Linked DNA regions of Xenopus tropicalis. The protein of the gene in region 4 purifies or fractionates together with the protein of the main gene of each other region. This does not show direct contact. Links are inferred from orthologs where the notes say so. Each region holds a gene or a part of one and is shown on either strand. Other genes may lie near its edges.

Region 1 (5,246 bases), on a different chromosome or scaffold from region 4:
ATCCGACTGCTGCAGTCCTATGTGGACGCCGACGTATCCTTGACGAGTTTTGCTTTTTGCTGAAAATATTTGGAATTTGCAGTTAATTGTTGTTCACGGTTACAATCTAGGTTCCCAATCACATTCACACACACACACACACTAGTTGTTTCAGAAGCCAGGTTACCTGGCTGTATGTATTTGGGTGTGGGAGGAAAACAGGGTACCCAGAAAAAGCCACACAAACTCGGGGAGAACATACAGACTCTTTGCAGAGGAGCCTAGGAACCCGGCGCTGCAGGATTAAATCCAGGATTTGGTTCGGGATTTGGCCTTTTTCAGCAGGATTCAGCTGAGTCCATGGACCTGGCCCAACAGAATCCTTTAAGTCACATGACCTTTTTGTCACATAAACACGGAAGTTGAAACATTTTCACCTCGTACTTTGCATATGGTTCTCTTTAACCATTCCACAGCCTTATTTGTATATTCCAATTAGGGTTCGTTATTTAGCCAAATCTTTTATGATGGATTCAGGGTTCGGCCATATCCCAAAATAGTGGATTTGGTGCATCCCTAATCTTTAACCTGGGTATTTGTGACCCCTCATGTTAACTGGGAGTGTGCTAATAGTCAGTAAGAGCAATTAATTTAATGATTCAGACATTATCTATCAGTGGGGAATTGTGGGTGTCATGAACTGGGGTGCCTCTCCGCCCTTGGGTCTGGGACTGCGACGGATTCCATGTACAGCTTTTTCTCTCCTTAATTCTTACATTCAGGCAGATGAGAACTTTTATACTTGCGCTTGGACGTACGACAGCAACACAAGTCACCCACTTCTAGCAGTGGCTGGTTCTAGAGGGATCATAAGGATAATTAATCCTATTACTATGCAGTGTATTAAGGTAAGAGGATTTTCCTTGCATCCGTGGGATCATTTACAAGCTTGTTAGTAGCTGATATCTTAATCTGTAGTCTGGGTTTGATGCTGCCCTCACTGTTTGAAGATCGGTGCTTAAGGGTAAGAACTCACAGAGCGGTTCAGTGGCCCACGACAAACTGCTTTGGAAAGGTTTTCCACTGGAGACAGTAGGAGTCACCGGTGGAAAGCCCTTCACATTGTTTCAGTAATGCAAAATCTTCAGGGCTTTGGAAAACAAAGTGATGCAAAGGGCTTTTCACTGGCGGCTCCTACAGTTGCCGGTGGAAAACCTTTCCAAAGCGGTTTGTCGTGGGCCACTGAACCACTCTGTGGGTTCCTACCCTAAATACCCTTCTTGTATAAGCAAGTTGAGTAGTCTTTACGGCTATCACCAGATTTTAAATGCTGCAGCTGTACAGAAACTCCAGCTTTCAATATATTGTTTGTCTCATTTACTCATTTGATTGTGTTAAAGGGAAGGATCACCTTTAGGTACATTTTAGAATGGCCAGTTCTAAGCAATTCGTCTTATAGTTTTTTATAGTTTCTTCTAACACTTGCCAACTCTTAAATGGGGATCACTGACCCTAAAAGCCAAAAATAAGCTGTTCTGTGAGGCTACAATTTTTATTGCTTATCTTTCTATTCAGGTTCTCTCCTATTCATTTTTAACCCTAGCAACCAAAAAGTGTAATAATTAAAAAGCACAAATAATAAAAAATGAAGACCAATTGCAAATTGTCTCAGAATATTACTCTGTACATCATACTAAAAGTATCCCCCTTTTTCTGTAGGATTGCAAATAGCATTGTACATGGAATATATAACCATGCATAATATCTTTAATTTTCCTTCCACTTTCTTCTAGCACTATGTGGGCCACGGAAATGCTATCAATGAGCTTAAATTTCATCCAAGGGATCCAAACCTCCTCCTATCAGTTAGCAAAGGTAGGTGTGGAACTGTATAAGCTCTGAAGGGGTTGGTGGAGCTTTAGTGTCTAGGGGGTCACCTTATTTTTGTATATAATGTGCAGAAGTGAATTTATATCATAACCAACTCTATGTACTGTGGTTAAGAGCAGCTCTGTGCCGCTAAAGGCTATGGCTGCTGGTTTGTATGTGTCTTATTTTTTTTACACCATGTTTTATGCCCCCCGCAGATCATGCGCTAAGACTTTGGAACATACAGACAGACACACTTGTAGCCATTTTTGGTGGAGTGGAAGGTCACAGAGATGAAGTGTTAAGCGCGGTATGTATACTGCATTTGGGGGGGTGTTAGTGCTGTGTAGACCTGTTGAGAGAGAAGCATGCTGTCCCCCTTTCCTGCACAATATATAAACTCATCCCAGTCAGATATTAACCCAAACACAACTTAAGCGTTTAGAAAAGTAAACATAAATTCAAGTATTTTTACTTAGAAAATATGCAGCCTTTTCATGATGTTTAATGTAATAATCTGGTTTGGAACAGTTCCCTAAGCCCCGCCCCCTGTTCCCCTGCTGATTGGCTGACTACTTTGTGACTCAAATAACATGTAACAGTAGTTGCCTGTTCTCAGCCTGCCTCCTCCCAATCCCACAATCCCCTGCTGCACACGTGATGTCAGTAAGGAAAGGAACATCCCAGTGCAATGCATTGTGGGTTATGTAGTTACTGCATGCTGTCTGTAAGCTGGGGAGAAGTTGTTACAATTTGTAACATCAGGGCTTTAGTCCCTCCTCCCCTGCCAGGATTTCAGATGATGCAGAAAGAGAAGAACTGTTTTGCAGCTGGATTTTAGCATAAAAAATGGTATTTATTCCTTCTTTTTGAACAGATTACAGGGATCCCTATATTGGGGGTTTCTGTGCTGTGTGGGGCTCTTTAAGAAATTCTGGTACAGAAGCCGGAGTTCCCCTATTAGCAATGAGACTATCGTTTTGACTCAGTGAAAGGGCCAATGAGCTGCTGACTTGCTCAGAAGTATTCAGTATCGGCCCACATACAGCCAGCCTAATGGGTTTATTCACGCCTACATTTCTTCTCTAGTTTAGCTCAGGGCACACGGATTTTTGATTTCTTGACTTGAATATTTTGTTAGGCTTTATTGTTGCGGAAATATTTTCTTTCGGAAAAACGTTTCTAATATAGAGCATGTAGAATTTAATTTTCATATTGTTTTACGTAGCCATAGCTCAGTCTTAACTTGCTGCCTCTTTGCCTTAGGACTATGATTTGCTTGGTGAGAAGATCATGTCATGTGGTATGGACCATTCCCTTAAGCTCTGGAGAATTAATTCTTTAAGAATGAAGACGGCCATCAGAGAGTCTTACGAATACAACCCCAATAAAACAAACAGGTAATGCGATGCTTGACTGAGCTCGGTTCTGGACCCCGCAGGTCAATGTTTGGTATCCAAGCAATAACCAGCCTTACAGGCATACAATAAAATGGCAGCAGTGCTTATAGTAACCACAGAAGCTGGAAAGTCTGCTCAGTAACTGACAGTGCAGCTGCAAGGGTCAGTTTGTGTGTGTCTCTCACAGCAGCTATTTATTCATGCATTAATTCCCATTTAGTAAAGCCCTCTACTTTATTTGTCAATAGTTCTATAATAGTTCCCTAAGTTTGCTCATAGCCTGTACAGAGAGATACCATAAAACTATGGCAGCATAGGGATTCCCCTGTACTAAGCACAATTCAGCAGGAACAGCCCCCTAAGTTTGCTCATAGCCTGTACAGAGAGATACCATAAAACTATGGCAGCATAGGGATTCCCCTGTACTAAGCACAATTCAGCAGGAACAGCCCCCTAAGTTTGCTCATAGCCTGTACAGAGAGATACCATAAAACTATGGCAGCATAGGGATTCCCCTGTACTAAGCACAATTCAGCAGGAACAGCCCCCTAAGTTTGCTCATAGCCTGTACAGAGAGATACCATAAAACTATGGCAGCATAGAGATTCCCCTGTACTAAGCACAATTCAGCAGGAACAGCCCCCTAAGTTTGCTCATAGCCTGTACAGAGAGATACCATAAAACTATGGCAGCATAGGGATTCCCCTGTACTAAGCACAATTCAGCAGGAACAGCCCCCTAAGTTTGCTCATAGCCTGTACAGAGAGATACCATAAAACTATGGCAGCATAGGGATTCCCCTGTACTAAGCACAATTCAGCAGGAACAGCCCCCTAAGTTTGCTCATAGCCTGTACAGAGAGATACCATAAAACTATGGCAGCATAGAGATTCCCCTGTACTAAGCACAATTCAGCAGGAACAGCCCCCTAAGTTTGCTCATAGCCTGTACAGAGAGATACCATAAAACTATGGCACATAGGGATTCCCCTGTACTAAGCACAATTCAGCAGGAACAGCCCCCTAAGTTTGCTCATAGCCTGTACAGAGAGATACCATAAAACTATGGCACATAGGGATTCCCCTGTACTAAGCACAATTCAGCAGGAACAGCCCCCTAAGTTTGCTCATAGCCTGTACAGAGAGATACCATAAAACTATGGCACATAGGGATTCCCCTGTACTAAGCACAATTCAGCAGGAACAGCCCCCTCACTGCCCCCCCCCCCATCCCAGTACTTGGCCTGTGCAGAAGTGAAGGGATGATTCTAAGGTGAATATCTCTTCAGCAGCACATGTTTTGTTAACTATATGGCAAAGATTCTATTAATGTGAACTGTTAGATTTGTGAATGTTGTACAAAGGTGAACAACCCCTTTAATGCACAAATGAGCAGTGTCCTCCTTAAGTAATGGCTTAAATGGGTTTGCTAATTTATTAAGGTGAGTTATATACATTTTTACAGTGAAATATTGAATGTTTTAGATTAAAATTGTATTACAAGTGGATTTCTCTAACTAATCTGTATTTTCTCATTGCAGGCCATTTGTCTCGCAGAAAATCCATTTCCCTGATTTTTCCACAAGGGACATACACAGAAACTATGTTGATTGTGTCAGGTGGTTAGGAGACCTTATTTTGTCTAAGGTGAGTGTTACTGTCGCTATCACTTTGTGTATGCATTGATCATACAGTTACATACAGTAAACAACAACCAGAGATAAAGGGGCCCTGCCCAACAGCTGGACCTACAGATACGATATCCGCCCGGTGATGGATATTTGTGTAGAAGGAGGCTGAATGCATTTACTCTGTAATTTCAGTCTTGTGAAAATGCAATCGTGTGCTGGAAACCTGGTAAAATGGAAGATGATATAGACAAGATCAAAGCCAGCGAGTCCAACGTGACCATTCTGGGGCGCTTTGATTACAGTCAGTGTGATATTTGGTATATGAGGTTTTCCATGGACTTCTGGCAAAAAGTAAGTGACATTCCATC
Region 2 (5,964 bases), on a different chromosome or scaffold from region 4:
GAACGTGTCTTCTATCCGCCAAGCGCAGGCCATGTCTCCCGTTATTTTTTTTATTAAAGATTTGTCAGTGAGCCAGATGCAGCCATCAAAAGAGCCACATCTGGCTCCCGAGCCATAGGTTCCCTACCCCTGCCCTACAACATCCTATAATACTATGTTTCAATCATGTTTCTGCCCATCAGCTTAAACTCACAGATCATTGCCATTAGCCATCTGTATGCCAGCATGACAGGCAGTTTGAATATCCTAATCTAAAAGAAAGAAGGCACAAAAGACCCATGGAATGGCGCTCAAATCATTTTAGCATTTAGCATGGTTGCTTCTAAATATAACTTGGGAGCCTAATGTGTACCCATAAAGCAGACTGTAGGAAAGGACTGGTTGTTTCCCTGCTCTATTATACTGCCTTCAATATTGTTATTTTCAGGTTTTTAACATGTTGGGGCCGATTCACTAAGGTACAAATCCGAATCACGAAATCCAATCATTTCTGATGATTGAAAATTCTTTTCGTTTGAATACAAAAATTTCATACTTATGATCTAAAAGTTCAGAAATTTTCGTATTGAAATGATCGTTTACGTTTGACACAAAATTTTTGTATCCGAACTATCCTAAATGGAACCAAAAACTTTCTAACTTTAATCCTTCAGTGCATGACTTTGGAAGCCTCCCATAGGACTCAACGGCACTCTGCAGCCAGGGCCGGATTTCTGTATTTGGTGCCCCAAGGCCGCCCCCATTCTGCCGCCTGCCTACTTCGATCGTGCATGCATACACCTGCACCTTTAGCGCAGCCAACCACCCCTCCCGTTTGTGCATGCGCGCCACTTAAGTCATACGGATCGGTGGGGAGAGGACGCGCTGAAGTTTCTGCGCATCCGGTCCCCATTGCTCCGTATGAGCAACATCACAATGCGACTGGGCGGCATGCCGCCCCTACATATGTTCCGCCCTAGGCCCGGGCCTTTGTGGCCTCGCCACAAATCCGTGCCTGTATGCAGCACCTGGCCAAAGGATACTGAAGCTTTAATGAATCCTGAAACTTTCATACGCAAAGTACGAAAAAGTTGCTGAAATTAATAAACAAATTGCAGAAAATACACACACATTTATAAAACTTAGAAAAAATACAATTTTTTTTGTATCCGGACTCAATCAAACATTGATAAATGGGCCCCTTTGTGTACTTGATACTTTATTTGGATAGGCTCATTGGGACAGGTGTTGTGTTTTAAGGCCCAATTAAGCAGCTGAATTTAGTAAGAAATCACATCCCATGAAATCTTTAATAGATCTTTTGTTTTGTTCCTCGGCCCGGTTTACCCATAGGCCCTGCAACCCGTGTGTAACAGTGTGGCATTAAACCTATTGATAAACAGGTGTGCAACCCATGCTAATGTAGTACTGGGAGCAAATCATAGCTGCATGTGTGCGGCCGGTCAAATACCAAAGCACATAGAAAGAGACAGGCCCACCTTTGTGCCCCATTAGACACTAGAGCTGACTGGAGTCCGTAACATACCATACTAGCCCATTCAGATCGAAGGGCTGTGTCGAGCAGCTCCTACAAATCCACACTAGGGCAAATTTCGTGTAAAGATATAAACTTGTCAGCCCCTCTATAAACGTACACATCAAAGTATTACTACGTTTCGGCCAACATGCATTAAAAACACAGTGGCACTGATCGAGTTCGTTCGAAGACAACTAATAGCAACTATACAACCTTGCACTTCCCTTCCCACAATTCCCCAGCAATCTGCCTCAACCAACACGTTCTGCCGCCAGGTTACCTGGGGCCATTCTGTCGCTGGTGTAGGAGAGCACGTGATCTATAGACCACGCCCCTTTCTACAGTCACCGCCCAAAACGCTTTCAGTTTGAATTGCTCCATTTCTAATTCCGCGCTGCATTGATACGGCGGGAATTGTCAGCGCCCGGTAGGACCGTTCTTAACCCCTATACGGCAGAGTCATATCCGTGTGAATCGTGTACACAAGTCACAGCTGTTATAAAGCGTGTGATATTCATCCCGGCTACTTCAAGAACAGAACAATTATATTCTGAATGGGCGCGCCGGCTGCTATAACTCGGGATAAAACCGATGGCATATTGTATATGTATATATATTTTTTTTTTTATCGTAAACCAGTTGTAAATTTTCAAACACACCCAGAGATGAGAATATTGGTTGAGCAATAAAACATTAATAATGTAGTATAAAGTAAAATATATATTGGAGTAGACCAAAAAGCGCCAGAGCGCGCCCCCGTCTCAGTCAGTTTTAGAGTACGGCCAGAACAAAGGAAAACAGAGTGCACAGCGGCTCTATAACACTGTATGAGGGAATAGCTGGCGCCGGCTTCGTTTTCCCTCTCTGCTTTCCTATTGGCTCGTACAGTTCCGGGCGCCCTTGAGCAAGCCAATTGGAACCTAGTTAGAGGGAGCTAAGCACCGGTCATGGGGGTGGCTGAAAGCTGCGAGAGGTGGAGGTTTATCTGGGAGATTTAGTTTGGCGCCTGGGGCTGGCGGTAGTGCAATAGGGATTCCATCGGTAAGGAGATTCGGGTAGTAAGAACGGAAGAGGAGAGCCAGGCGAAGGGGAGACGGTCATAGACACGGTAATTGAAATAGAGCCTAATTATGTACCGGGCACATTGGTAATGTGGGCCCTATGTGGGAGCAGACGAGGACAAAGGGGCCGCCCCCGGCAACAGAGGGGGAGGGGCTCCAAATGCAACCTTACAGCTGGAGTTTAATGCGGGAATATTTTCACTGTCAAATCGTGGTTTGATTACAATAACAGGGTTGTATGGTCCGAAGTGCTGTGTAATGGAGATTTAACTTCAATGGACGTGTAAGATAGACAATATACCAACACATAAGTGATCGGGCCAATCCTGTGACAACCATAGGATGCCTTTAGCCTGTAGCGGGTTTCTGGTGATTCTGGGAATTGTAGTGTGGCCAGAGCTTGTACTCTGTGTTTCACATCTCTGCATTCGAACGTGGAAGTAGCAGGTTAAGATTTAAACTCTGGTGTCTTAGGGTCAAGGACTGTTGATGCAGTCCAACTCTAAGTTGGACTGAACATGTATTGTAGGATTGCATATCCCAGCAACACCTCCAAGGGTTTGCTAGTCTTCTGCATATCATCTGTATTTGGTGTTGCCTCTTTGTTGGTTTCCAGCTGTTGAACTACAACTCCCAGCACTGACATTGGTGAAAGTTATACTTCAACAACAGTCTGAGGGGACACTGAACATCCATGGCAGGGCAGCTGTCACACATGAAGAGAGGACAACCATGCTGGGCCATCCAAAGCCCTCTTCAGCAAGTCGCAGGTTTCTCTTAATATTCTACCTCAAAACCTCTGTAGGGCCAAGTGACTTTCTGATTGAGGAATGAGAGGAACTGTGTGGTGCCAATATAGTGGTAGGGGGTTAAGTGCTACTGTAGTGAAGTTGCATCAGTTGAGCACTAAGGACTAGACAGAAATCAAGCTTTTTCCACGTACGTTATTGGTGTAGCTAAAACCTGCAGGTGAGGGTGTGCAGAGCAAAGTAAAAAGTTGTCATCAGATAAGAGTCATGGAACAGTCTGTCGGCAACAAGAGGAGGTACTGCGTGGGTGCATACAAGACACAATGCAGGAAGTTGTAATAGTTTTGAAAACGTGTTATACACTAGTGTCATTGACGGTATAGAAAGGGCATGTGTGTGCTGGGACATACATGGGGTGATTAACTTATTGAAACAGACTCCAAAGGGCTGTATGACAGCAGCTCCACGGTCAGCTGTTTTTGTGCTGTATCCGGCTGCTGCTTTAAGAAGTCATTTTGTGCATGACAAAGTTGTGTCAGTCGTCGGATGATATTGTGTGACAGATCATCATCACTTGGTATGTTTTTTTTCCTTCAAGATTTGTCTTGTGTATTTATTTTGTTATATATTAAAATTCCTTTTTAGCTCTAGGGTCTGACCCGCATATCCAATTTTTAAGTGAGTATAGTTGGAAATGCACTGTCAGAAATTGCATCTGATATTTGTACATGGCAGTGGGTGTGTATGATTTTTGGCTGCCACTATGTGCCCACACAAGCAGTTGTTCCAGCTACACTAACACATAAATTGGAGACATGCAGAGGATGTCTATCTTTGCGATTTGTCTATCTTTAGGGTCAGGGTTATGTATTTACCAGTGTCGGGCTGAAGTTTTTCATTTATCTTAAGGCTCTTGCTGGTCTATTATTGCTTCATCGTTAATGTAGTGACGAGTTTTGGTTTATCTGGCATGTTTGGAGTTACTGGGAGTGTGCATTTTCTGTGGCTAAAAATCAAAATAGAATGCGCACTTCTCAAACATCTCCTGATAGGCAGTTGGGTGGAACCAGCGTTGGTTAATGCACATGCACCACAACGCAACTATCACAACAAAATGGAAATCATTGCAATGTCAGTTGGAAGCACTGGAATAGACTCCCAACACATCCATGCCTCTGATCAGCTCGCTGATTATCTTTCCACAAGTGTATATTGAATTTGTCCTATTGGTGCTCTCTCACAAAGTTTGTAAGATCTAGGTAAAACCAAGATGTATTCCACAAGTGGTTCCACTTGTCCCATCCCAGTGTGCACCAAAGTAGGATAGGAAAAATGTTGGACATGGAGCTGCCTCCAGAGTCCTTGTCTGTGCCATTTAATGTCAAGCAGATGCAGTTGGAGACAAACTCTTCAGTAGGTTAGTTATTTGGGACTCCTTTTCCACCTTTCTGGGGCTCTTTGTTCATTACTGCCCACTTGTCTATCTTTCAAGCCCATGATGAAATGAAAAACTGTTCCAGCAATGACTTGGCAGACACTAGCCAGAGGAGGCCATGGACCATATATTAAAAGATGGGAAAGATCTTCGCACCAAAGGTTTTCCCTTTCATTGTAAGATCTTTGAGAGTCCAAAGACCTTTTCTTTTATCAAATCATTCTCTCATCCCAGAACCTTAGGGCAGCACCTTCACCACCAAAACATTCTCCAAGGATTTTAGTGAAGTCATACTTAATGGAAAATTAGGAAATCATGACAGTTTCACTGTCTGAAAAGCAGGGTTTTCTGTAGTTGACTTTAGCTTTTTAAACTCTTGCTAAAGGTGCCCATACATTATAAGATCTGCTCGCTTGGCGATGTCGCCAAGCGAGCGGATCTTCACCCGATATCCCCACCTACGGGTGGGCGATATCGGGTAGCAAGTAACTTAAAAAAAAAAGTAATGGGCCAAACGATCGGATTACATTTGTGGTTATGGGGCATTCGGTTCGGGGACCGCATCGGCTCGTTGATGCGGTCCCCGGATATCCAACCGGATATTCTAACCTGGGCGATCGAGATCTGGCCAATTTCAGGCCAGATATCGGTCAGCCAGGTCGCTCTGTTCTGCCCATACACGGGCCGATTAGCTGCCGAATCGGCCCCTATAGTCGGCCCGTGTATGGGGACCTTTAGTCTTCACAGGTCTAGATAAACACTCTCACTGACTGCTGATCTATGCAGAAGATGGTCGCATAGTGTATGTACAGTGAGTGCTTGATCTGAGATCTTGCTGGTCCTGTTGTGGTGATTCCTCCAATCTATGTATGTATAACTTTATTTATAAAGCGCCACAAGGGTACGCAGCACTGTAAAATACAAAATTACACACAGGGAGGACAAGTGTTGTAATAAATAAATATAATAAATATATATCAATGCACAGGGAATAAGTGCCATGTGGTATGAAACACAGTAGGAAGGACCTCCCTGCCCTGTAGAGCTTACAATCTAAGTGGTTGGGTAACATTCAGGCACAAATTGGAAAGTAAGAATGCACCAGGTAGGGGCATTTGCCCTTAAGTGCAGGACTGGACAAAATAATGTTTTAGTGCTCCAGAAGGTAACAGCTGAGTTTTTTCTTAAAGAGAGTGGGTGAGT
Region 3 (5,246 bases), on a different chromosome or scaffold from region 4:
CTGCCGACTGGAGACCAGAGTGCAAGCTGAATGATGAGATGCGATTCGTTACACAGATTCAACACATCCACAAGCTTGGGCGACGTTGGGGTCCAAATGTACAGCGCCTGGCCTGCATTAAGAAGCACCTCAAATCTCAGGGCATCACCTTGGATGAACTCCCGCTCATAGGTAAGGGAATCACTCTGATGGACATGCATGTGTTGTTATTTTTCTTAAAGAGCTCTAATTTGATTTTTTGATATTTTTTGGCAGATGCTGCTTAAAGGGTCCATTTAAACTGTTATATTTTGTTTATTAGAAATGTAAAAAAACACTCCGTTTTACCCTCAGATGAATTGTAATGACATTTCATCATATGTATTATTTTATTGCAAATAATGACTGTTAAGTGTTTGGGCAGCAATAATTGGATACTGTTTGCATTGTTAGAAATATACCAAAATAGCAAAAACCAATGTAGCTGAATGATGCCAACATGTTAGAAGGTTGACACTTTAAAAAGAGAGAGAAGAAAAACACAAATTTTTCAACCATATTCAGTGCTTGAGGGAATGTGAGACATGCGCTATTAAACTTTTATTGATACGTAGCCATCTGAGAATGCTGCAGAAGCTTGAACTCTGATATCAGCTGTATTTTTGGGGGACTGAAAAAGTGTTTGTCGTATTTTTTTTTGTAGGCACCCTATACCCAGGGCACAGAGTGTGATGACTGGACAATAGTTTCTTTGCATCATCATTTTTTTAAATTAAAGAACAACTCTTTCTTTTTCACCTCTTCCAAAAATGTCCCTCCAAGCTGAAGTTTGTTGTGCTGATCTCACTTTCCTTCTGTTTTTTTCAACTTAAGTTTGTTGTTTGTGATAAATGGCCAACATAACAATTCATCCACAAATGTACAATGTAACACAAAGGTTACGTCATTTAATACTGTACGATGAACAAAGAATACAATTGTGTGTCAGCAGACACAAACACGCATCACTAAAGCTCTCGGAACTTATCTCACTAAATGTTGGATTTGCCCAACATGGTGTGTTTTATGTGATTGTGTTGTTCAGTAATTATTTCAACTATGTTGAAATATAATTTAAGCAGCAGTAAAGTTTTTCTTTTAATTCACTAATTCACTGCCCTGTTAACTTCACTGTATTTCCAAGATCAGACCCTTACCATAAGCAATCCAGTCCTTACAATTTAGAGATTTGAGGTTGAATTATGATTATCTAATACTGCTGTTTTAAAAGTAAAACACATTCTAGGTATTGACGGTGAAATGTCTCTTGCTGACACCAACATGCATATGTACTTTTATGTATGTATTGAGTACCTTTCAGGGTTGTCACAAGTAATAGCTCACTTAGTGAATTGAAATATTATTTAATTTACTAATATGCAACTAAACATTTCCCTGAAGAAATAATCAAAAAGAACATGGAAAGGAGGTCATGCAGGGAACTTGATTTAGGGAATGATAAAAACACTTCTGAAGATATAAAGAGTGGAAACCAATATCTTCAAAATGGTTTTTCAAAAGTAAGAACCAGGGATTTATTCCCTGGCTTAACACCCACTTGTGACAACCCTAAGTACATTTGTGAAGTTCCTGGAAGAAGACACAAATGTTTTAATAACTTGACAAACTGATCTCTCTCTGTTTCTTTGTGGCGGTATGCCTACTAGGCATTCAAGCATCACTCGTTCTGCAAGGCTCTGACCGAAGACAGATCCTCTGGATCCCTGCTCTGCTCTACTTTTTTAGGGATTAGCAGTTTTTAAGGCTTCATTTACACATCCCTACCATGCTGACACAGTGGCAGAATGGGGCTGTGTACTATGAGCCACATCTTGTAGGGCTTGGGCAAATAGAGAAGTTAAGCTATCCCTTCACCAAGCAGGTCTCTAGAGTGTGTCCTGGGCAACTTATCTTGATCTCTGCCGGCTTACGGTGTGGGGAAGATACCCAAGATCACCTCTGGGAAGCCCAGTTGTCCTCCACAGGCTAGCTACAAACCATTAAAACTCGGCAGCCAAGGTACAGCACACTCCTTATTTTAGTCAAGACCTTGTTGGCTCTGGTGGTAAGTCAAAATGTATTAAAAAAAAAAAATGTATGCAAACAATGCTTTATTTACTGTTTCTTATGTTGTCAGATATTATTTCTCAATGTTCTGCAGTGCATTTTCATATCTTCAGTTTTCTCTAAACTTTGTATTTGTCTTTGACAATTTAGCTCTTATGTTGAGTATTCCCAACATTCTTAAAGGGGTGGTTCACCTATATGTTAACTTTTAGTTCTAAGCAATTTTTCAATTGGTCTTCATTGTTTATTTGTTATATATAGTTTTTTAATTATTTGCCGCCTTCCAATGACCCCGGCAGCCAAAAAACTATTGCTATGTGAAGTTTTATTGTTGTTCTTACTTTTTCTAATTGTCTTTACTATTCATGTCCTCTCCTTGGAGCTTCTGCAACTCCAAACTGGAGAGCTGCTGAACTGAAAATGAAATAACTAAAAAAACTGCAAGTAATAAAAAATAAAAACCAATCGCAAATTGTCTCAGAATATTACTCTCTACATCATACTAAAATGAATTCAAAGGTGAACAACCCCTTTAAGTAAAATTGCCACCCATGAGTGGCTTGCATAAAAATGTTAATGTTAAAAAATGCAAAATTGCTGTATTTATAGCACAGTGTAGTGGATTTGGTGACCTGTTTAAGCTTTTGGAGAAAGTGCTTTGAAATGTTTTCTGAATCTGTAAAAGTCCTTAAAAAAAAAAAAAAATTAGGGTTATGCATCATTATATGTTTTTATAATGTAGCCTAACCGTTTCATAAGGAATTAACTACTCATAGCTTTTCTGAGGGATCTTGTCATTTGCGAAGGATAGAATAGGCAGATTGCCACTTCTCTTTATTAAATGATTTTTTTTTGTTTTGCTTGCAACCTCTTTTTAGGAGGCTGTGAGCTAGATTTGGCCCAGTTTTTCCAACTCATCAATGAAATGGGTGGCATGCAACAAGTGACTGACCTCAAGAAATGGAACAAACTGGCGGACATGCTACGCATCCCGAAAACTGCACAGGATCGTCTGGCAAAGCTGCAAGAGGCCTACTGTCAGTACCTGCTCTCCTATGACTCCCTTTCCCCTGAGGAGCACAAGAAACTGGAGAAGGAAGTCCTGCAGGAAAAAGAAAATCTGGAGAAGAAGAAAGGTCCACTAGAGGGTCACTCAGACAATGCCTATAAGTTACATTTGCTCCCCAGATACGAGCCCAAAAATGGACTCATAAATGGAGTGGTGCATCGCAATGGTCTCAGAGGCAAGCTGAAAGAAATGGATGTCCAGGTGAAAAATGGCAGACGGAGACTGTTTACTCAAGATAAAGAGAGTACGGAGGAAGAGCCAGAAGACAAGAGTTTATTTGGTGAACTGCATAAGTGTATCTATAAGGTATGTATGCATACTTTTGTGAGTATAGTTGTCATTACATGCTTGAATCGTAATCTGCGCATAAGGAAAAATTGCCTTTGTTGATTGAAATGTTTTATGCTAGCATATATAAGAAGAAATTTGCAAGCTTAAGCATACATGTAACTACATTATTGATGCTTTTAAATAAAAAACCAAGTAAAAGCAACCGGTGCCATGAATCCCCAAATACTAATTGTACTACTACTACTTGGGGGGTGGTAATAGGGGGAAAAAAACACTCGAAGTGCAAAGAGACCAACAAGAGAAAAGGAGAGTAGCACCACTTGGTGGTTGGGGTAAGTGCACCCTCGGGAGACCTAAAGTATTTGATGGGATGAAAATATATAGGATGGTGAAATGGGGATGCACCTGCTGGGAAGAATAGTAGGAAGTATGGAGAAAATACCTCATTTGGTGGGAAGGGTAAAGGCATGCAATAAAATAGATGGATGGGGGTTGCACTTTATTCCAATTGAGTAAAGAAGTTGAACTTATCGTATAGAAAGCTGCCTTCATAGCTACTGCATGTGTTGATATTGACTTTTTTAGGCACAGCCATGGCACCAACAAAAAAAATTTTTGCCAGCAGAGATTTAATGAATTCCTGCATTATCTGTTTTCTCTGTTCAGACAAAATGCCAAAATAGGTGGTACCTATTTGTCACAGCCAATTTCTGACTTAGAGCATTTTCTTACATTACATTATTACATTAACATTTATTTATAAAGCGCCAACATATTCCGCAGCGCTGTACAATAAGTGAGTTACATACATTGGACATACAGAGTAACATATAAAGCAATCAATAACCGATACAAGAGGTGAAGAGAGCCTTGCCCAAAAGAGCTTACAATCTACAAGGAATTTGTTGGGTTTTTAAATCCATAAAAACCATCCAGGTTCATTCTCGGCCTGTGTTTATAGACAGGTTGTGAATCAGCACTGTGTGGGACTAGCCTAAAGGCCTAGATCTTGTCTTCTACAGGGTAGCCGAAAGTAAGGGCAATGAAAAATGGAGCAACTTGTCAAGGCTACAAAATAAGCAATACTGATTGTTGTCTTTCTATGTGTTTTAGCCTATAACAGGGTATCTTCTGGTGTTTTGTTGCCACCACAAGTAGCTCTGTGTGCCGTAGCCCTAAGGTTTCTCCTAAGTATCCAAAGTTAGTATCCTAAGTTTTTACGGCATTTGTTTTATCCTTATTCAGGTGTTCTTCTTTAATAAGATGTGGAAGTTGCATTGCCTTATTATTGTGTCTGCTTCACATTCACCAACAGAGCACTAAATATAGTCAAATAGGGGCTTTTTGACCCCGCAATCTAAAGTATGCTTATTTTTGGTGCAGCTCTATAAAAATGTAAGGTTGTACTGATGCACATCTCCATAAAACGGTATATACACACTTGATATTGGCACACTTGAGAAACATGGGGCTTTCCAAATCAGCTGTATTTTTGTGTATTACAAAATATCTGTTTACATATGTTTATATTTCTCTAAATAATAAAATACCTGAAGGTGTTTTTCCACTGTTATATTCCACTAGATATTTTTGGGTTTATGCAATATAATGTGCAAACTTTGCTGCAGGTCTAATGACCTTTTGGTAACCTATCAGCAGAAATCATGTACTAGTCATCTTACTGCTATGGGTTACTGCACCTGGGTATAAACTTTGTGTTTTATTACATATGGGGGTTGGGACGTATATCTTGGTACAGAAGTTAAATAATCGTTGTTCTTTGTCTGAGATCAGTGATGCC
Region 4 (5,246 bases):
TTATTACGTGAAAGCTCTTTCATTTTTTGGTGTTACTGTTCCTTTAAGCTCTTACAAAAAGAACCAATTACTTGTGCCTCCAAGGTTGTGGCTGCTTGTGGCCCTGATGATGCTGCCCATCTCCATGCGTTTAATAATTGCGCAACTATGTAGTATATAACAGGGTATTAGGGGCTGCAAGCCCACCTTGTTCAGTAGGGAGTTGCAGGGTGTGAAAAGAAATTCTGGGGTATTCCCTGTTCCAGTATAGGGTCAGTGTCAAGGATCTAAGTTTCATAAAGATTTTATAAGGGATTACAATGGGATTGCCGAAAAACGTATGCAAACTTGGGGAGTATGGTAATTAGTACACCTGGTAGTTGGGCTGTCAATTTCAGACATATCTATGTTGTGGAGGTAATTATCTATTTCTGCCATGGTAACCTGTAGCTTGGTAGAGATTGAAATAATATGTCACAAATGAATTGTTAATCTGGTCAGGACTGGTATATAGTCTTGTCAGGGAATTCCCGTGGGTGAGGTGTTGTCCCAGGCCAAGGTGCCAAGTTTTGTCCCAGTGTTTTTTGTGAATTCTACACTACATCAGTGGTGGTGGAGTCTAAATTGGTGTCCAAATATGTTTCCAATCTGCCCAGCATGTGTGTCATTGACCCAGTAGGAACAAAGGTTTTTTTTTTTTTTTTTTTTAACTGTTCATAGTTTCATTTCAAATTCAACAACTACATACAGTAACATTGTTACAAATGAGTGCCCACTTGTTAATGCGGGTTACCTCTTCTACTATATACATTTTATATAAAATTGCACCTTTATGCTTTGTTACTTATCCAGGCAAAACTATCTCCTGACCAAAGCACTGGTGTCTAAGGCTGATACTCCCCTGCTGTAGCTTTTATAAGGCAGAGCTTTCCAAAGAGCAAAAACTTATTTCTTAAAGGAATAATGCCACCAGTAAAGGGACCTGGTGTATGGAGGTGGTATTATATAAAACTTTGGCCAAATTCTGGTATAAGTTCTTCTGACCAGGAGTCCCTTTGTTGCTAAAGATGTTCCTGTTGGCCTCCCTAGCAAAGTTGAAGTCCACTTCAGTTTATCCAAAAGGGGTCAAATATATAATTACAAACTATAGTGAAGATTCAAGGTGACCCCAAGTAAAGGAAGAAACTAATTTGTTACCTGAGATTCCACAGTAAAAAGCTCTGGAACAGTTAGACTAATGAAGGAATGTAACAGGTATATGGTTTCCAGCACTTGTTATGTTATATATATCCAGAGTGTATATATGGTGTGGCAATCTAGAGAATATTTCATTCTAGTGCAGATCTGTACAGATCCATTACAGGAACAGAAATGAACTATGAGGGAAAGTGGGACTAATTTAAGACCCTCTTTTACAGTAGGTCTAAAGTTTAAAATAAATTATAATAAATTTCCAATCTTGTTAGCCACTTTTTAAATACAAGCGACATTGCTGCTCCCTTACTCCTGATTGTCCATGCTCAGCACTATACAGCACCTGGCTCACCCAGCTACCTCTTTACATGACCCTCAGGCAGGCTGTATTGGTTCAGCAAACACTATCTCCTCCCAACCCCATAATAGCAGCTGTAAAAAAAAAAGGCTATGACGATGCATGAAAACTACTTAGAATGCGCACTATAGACCCATCTACCCCCCTCTGGGGCAACAAAACCCTTGGGAAATTGGCAGAAATGCCCCCCTCCAAGTCACTGGGTAAACTCAGGTATCACATCCATCAAAGATGTTTGGGAGGAGGGAAGGATGATCCCTTTTTCATCCCTATAACGCTACAACTCTCTACCAGGCTCTGAATAGCTAATATACCTCAGGTTGCAAATGACCCTCAAACACTTACAGTCTCATTCCTTGCCACCTCTGAGGACCCACTACTGTCAACCATAAGAAAGGGCCACAAAAAATGTCCACCCTATACAAATAACTAATCAATGCTAGCTGTGAGTCTGTTGCCTTGAAGTGTAGAGATGCATGGGAAGATGACCTGGTGTACCTGACGGGTGATCAATGAAAGGAGTTGCTATTAATCAAATTAAATTTGTTTCTATCAATTGCAGGCACAAGATGCTTCAACTATACCTTATCCACCAAGCATATTATACCACGGAGAAACTACACAAAATATATCCAGAAGTACCCCCAATGTACTAGATGCCAAACTGACACCTTATTCCATGTCCTCTGGGCATGCCCTGAACTGAAAAACTATTGGGTCAATATCCCAGACAAAATAGGCTCAGTAACTGATATAAGCATCAACCAAACTTGGTACTACTTAACATCACCACTGGTATTGAGCTTAACTTAGCTAGCCAGGGTATTCTTTCAAGCCCGTAGGCTTATTACCCTCAACTGGAAATCGCAAATGGCGCCTACCTATTGACACATGGCTTAGGGCCGTAAATGATACCTGAAAAAGCGACACAAGAAAAGCATTCCCTAAGCAGGAAAGGCAAACCCAACACCTTTATCAATATCTGGAGCAGCTGGCTAGCCCACGCCTCATAAGGCCCCTCCACAAGTACTATTACTTCCTTAGCGCCTCCACCCCTGTATCCATCACAGGGTATATGAACCCAGGAGGGGATTGTTATCGGTTATCTATTACCATAATTATAACTCTGATGTGAGTTCTATGATGAGACATGTATTTGACTGTAAAACTGTAAACCCTTGTAATTTCTCCTTGAGCGCTGTCAAATGTTTTGTACCTGAATAGTTTTCCTTTTACAATAAAACTTACCAGCACAAAAAAAAAAAAAAATACAAGCAACATTACACATGTTCAGTGTGCTCTTGGCTGTTGTCAACAAACTAAGCTTTTGGGTCACAGGAAATCATCAAACCACAAGAAGAACGTGATGTTTCATCTGTCAAATAACTCTTAAATTTTCCCTCATTTTACAATTTGTGGTCTCCTGAATGATGCATTTCCCTTATTTTACATTTTCCAGGATTTTAGTGTTTTTCTGGTCCCATGAAAAACGTAAAATGGGGGTTCTACTGTAATTCTACAGGGCTAATTAATAACCAGTGACATTTTTGAATCTAAATCACTACTCACTGTATGATGAAAAGTATATTCTATTTATACCTGAGCTTTATACCTTAAGCTAAAACAAGTGTTTAAAATTAACAAAAAAAGATGATGGGGAGCTACTTGAGGTAGCTTCATTAATTTGTACCTGGAAACAATAGATGAGGTAGTTTCTTTTGCACTGACAGCACCACTGGTTTCTAAATCTGAGTTACTGGATGATGAATTGGTCACCTCCGGTTTCCTGCTAAACAGAACACGTTTGTTTATAAAAACAAAACAAAAAGGCAGTAGATTAAAAACAAAACTAAAAACCCATACCTTCTTTGTTCTGGTGTATCTAACAAGGAATTCTCTGATACAGGTTCAGTATCCATGTTCTGCAAAGGATATCAATACATTTTAGAATTTATCTAGCACTGTACATTTAGTATAACTTGTACTGTTTCTCAATATTATTATTATTATTTTCTATTTATAAAATAACATTTTCCACAGTGTTATGGAATATACAAGAATGAATACAAGAAAAAACAACCAGTACAAGAGGTAAAGAGGGCCCCTGCCCAAAAGAGCTTACAGTCTACTGTCTGATTGCTATTATGCTTTAAGATAGAGGTTGGATTAATTTAATCTGTGGGACTGTTTGAAAAGGGATATTTTACTTGCCTGCACAGTTCTGACTATTGAGATCTGGCATGATATGGAGGGTATCAAGGGAGCAGTGGGCAGGTAAAAGATTGCATTTCTGAAGAATATAGCTGCTTAAACCGATTGCATTTTGATGATTCTATACTGCTCAGCTTTGCGTTTAGAGTACTGCTAGTAGAGAAAACATTTAAGCAAATGTGGAAGTGGGCAAGAGTGCCCATACTGCATACCATTCACTTTAAAAGGAGATCTAAACTAACATAATAAGAAACTTTCAGTGTAGGATTTGTAGCTCAGCAAACTGAATATACTTAATAAGGATCTGAATACCTTTGCATGGCACTACATAGGAAACTAACTCACCTCACCTACTGTTTGTTGTATCGATACAGCAGGTTAAGCTTCACCTGCTTTCTGAGACAAAATGGAGAGGGACAGTGTGCATGGTCTGCTTAAAACAGCAGCAGAATACAGCAAGGTCCATGGGCAAGGCCTAAGGAGAGTGTTCAGTGCCCTCAAGAGCAGCTTCCTCAGGCAAGGTTGCAAACAGTTAATGCTGGCCAAGAATGTTTGATGTATGTGTGTATATTTTTATTGATACAGTGCTACTTATGCACACAGCACTGTGCAACAGAAGTTGACTGAGCACAGAGGGAATAACCTATTTGAAAGTCATTCAAGGTGGGGCCAGATACATTCCCTGGGCAGTAAGGAGGGATTTTAAGAATCAAGTCCCAAAGGAACATGGAGCACGTAGCCAGTAAAAAAAATAACAAAAAGACTGTTGATGAGTCCCTAGCTGTCCCAGGTACTTCATGTGTCACTGGAGGGCATGCAGAAGACAGCACTAACTAAAACAGAAACCTTAAAAAATACTAAACCTCTTCTATGCCTCATACCACACGATACACTCTGGTTTCATAAAAATGAGCTTCTGACTATTTTCAAAACAAGTTTACAACTATACTGCTCTTTGTATAGTATGAGAATGTTCTTACATTTGCCAGAGATGGGGTTTCACATGGCTCATTTTGCAAAATTTTTCTCCTGTGAGAACCTGGTGGTCTTCCAACTGGTTTCCTCTTTTTCACCTCACCATTGTTTATCTCTCTAAAATATAGTGGGTAAAAAATTGAAATAATGAGGACAAACATGTTTCTTGTCAGAAAGTTTATGCTTCACTTTTTCATGTACTAACATTTTCCTGCTTGTACTGATGTATTTTAATGTTACATGTTCTGCATAATGTTTTGTACCTATGCTGGCATTCTGGAGAGTAATAGCGTCATTGTAAGGCTTTTGTAAGAAAACTTAAGGCTAATGCCAGACGAGGCGTAGGGCGGATATTTTCGGCAAGCGGAAAAGTGCGTGCTGAAAATTCTGCCCTACACCTCCTACATGTGCCTGCACCTGAATGAATGAGATACGCTCATAAATTAATTTTCCATTTTCTTTTCTGCATTCACTGTGTGTCTTTGCCCTATTAGGTAAATTGCTTTAGGTATGAAGAATCCACACAAGT

What was found.
Region 1: the proteins of mtf2 (region 4) and eed purify together in Homo sapiens (affinity purification with mass spectrometry; 3 studies listed by BioGRID and IntAct, with this or other methods). This does not show direct contact. The link is inferred for Xenopus tropicalis from reciprocal best matches to the Homo sapiens genes MTF2 and EED.
Region 2: the proteins of mtf2 (region 4) and ezh2 purify together in Homo sapiens (affinity purification with mass spectrometry; 10 studies listed by BioGRID and IntAct, with this or other methods). This does not show direct contact. The link is inferred for Xenopus tropicalis from reciprocal best matches to the Homo sapiens genes MTF2 and EZH2.
Region 3: the proteins of mtf2 (region 4) and jarid2 purify together in Homo sapiens (affinity purification with mass spectrometry; 3 studies listed by BioGRID and IntAct, with this or other methods). This does not show direct contact. The link is inferred for Xenopus tropicalis from reciprocal best matches to the Homo sapiens genes MTF2 and JARID2.

The regions. Positions count from the first base shown.
Region 1 is NC_030678.2:168,812,331-168,817,576, reverse strand, and holds part of eed (polycomb protein eed), read left to right. Parts: coding exon 1-33; intron 34-761; coding exon 762-887; intron 888-1,772; coding exon 1,773-1,854; intron 1,855-2,066; coding exon 2,067-2,158; intron 2,159-3,114; coding exon 3,115-3,248; intron 3,249-4,788; coding exon 4,789-4,894; intron 4,895-5,070; coding exon 5,071-5,229; intron 5,230-5,246. UniProt on the Homo sapiens protein: Polycomb group (PcG) protein. Component of the PRC2/EED-EZH2 complex, which methylates 'Lys-9' and 'Lys-27' of histone H3, leading to transcriptional repression of the affected target gene.
Region 2 is NC_030682.2:55,122,607-55,128,570, forward strand, and holds the start of ezh2 (histone-lysine N-methyltransferase EZH2), read left to right. Parts: upstream 1-2,532; 5' UTR 2,533-2,624; intron 2,625-3,193; exon of another isoform or gene 3,194-3,309; coding exon of another isoform or gene 3,310-3,347; intron 3,348-5,964. UniProt on the Homo sapiens protein: Polycomb group (PcG) protein. Catalytic subunit of the PRC2/EED-EZH2 complex, which methylates 'Lys-9' (H3K9me) and 'Lys-27' (H3K27me) of histone H3, leading to transcriptional repression of the affected target gene.
Region 3 is NC_030682.2:92,472,050-92,477,295, forward strand, and holds part of jarid2 (protein Jumonji), read left to right. Parts: coding exon 1-171; intron 172-2,963; coding exon 2,964-3,460; intron 3,461-5,246.
Region 4 is NC_030680.2:104,197,335-104,202,580, forward strand, and holds part of mtf2 (metal-response element-binding transcription factor 2), read right to left. Parts: intron 4,835-5,246; coding exon 4,723-4,834; intron 3,454-4,722; coding exon 3,395-3,453; intron 3,321-3,394; coding exon 3,222-3,320; intron 1-3,221. UniProt on the Homo sapiens protein: Polycomb group (PcG) protein that specifically binds histone H3 trimethylated at 'Lys-36' (H3K36me3) and recruits the PRC2 complex, thus enhancing PRC2 H3K27me3 methylation activity.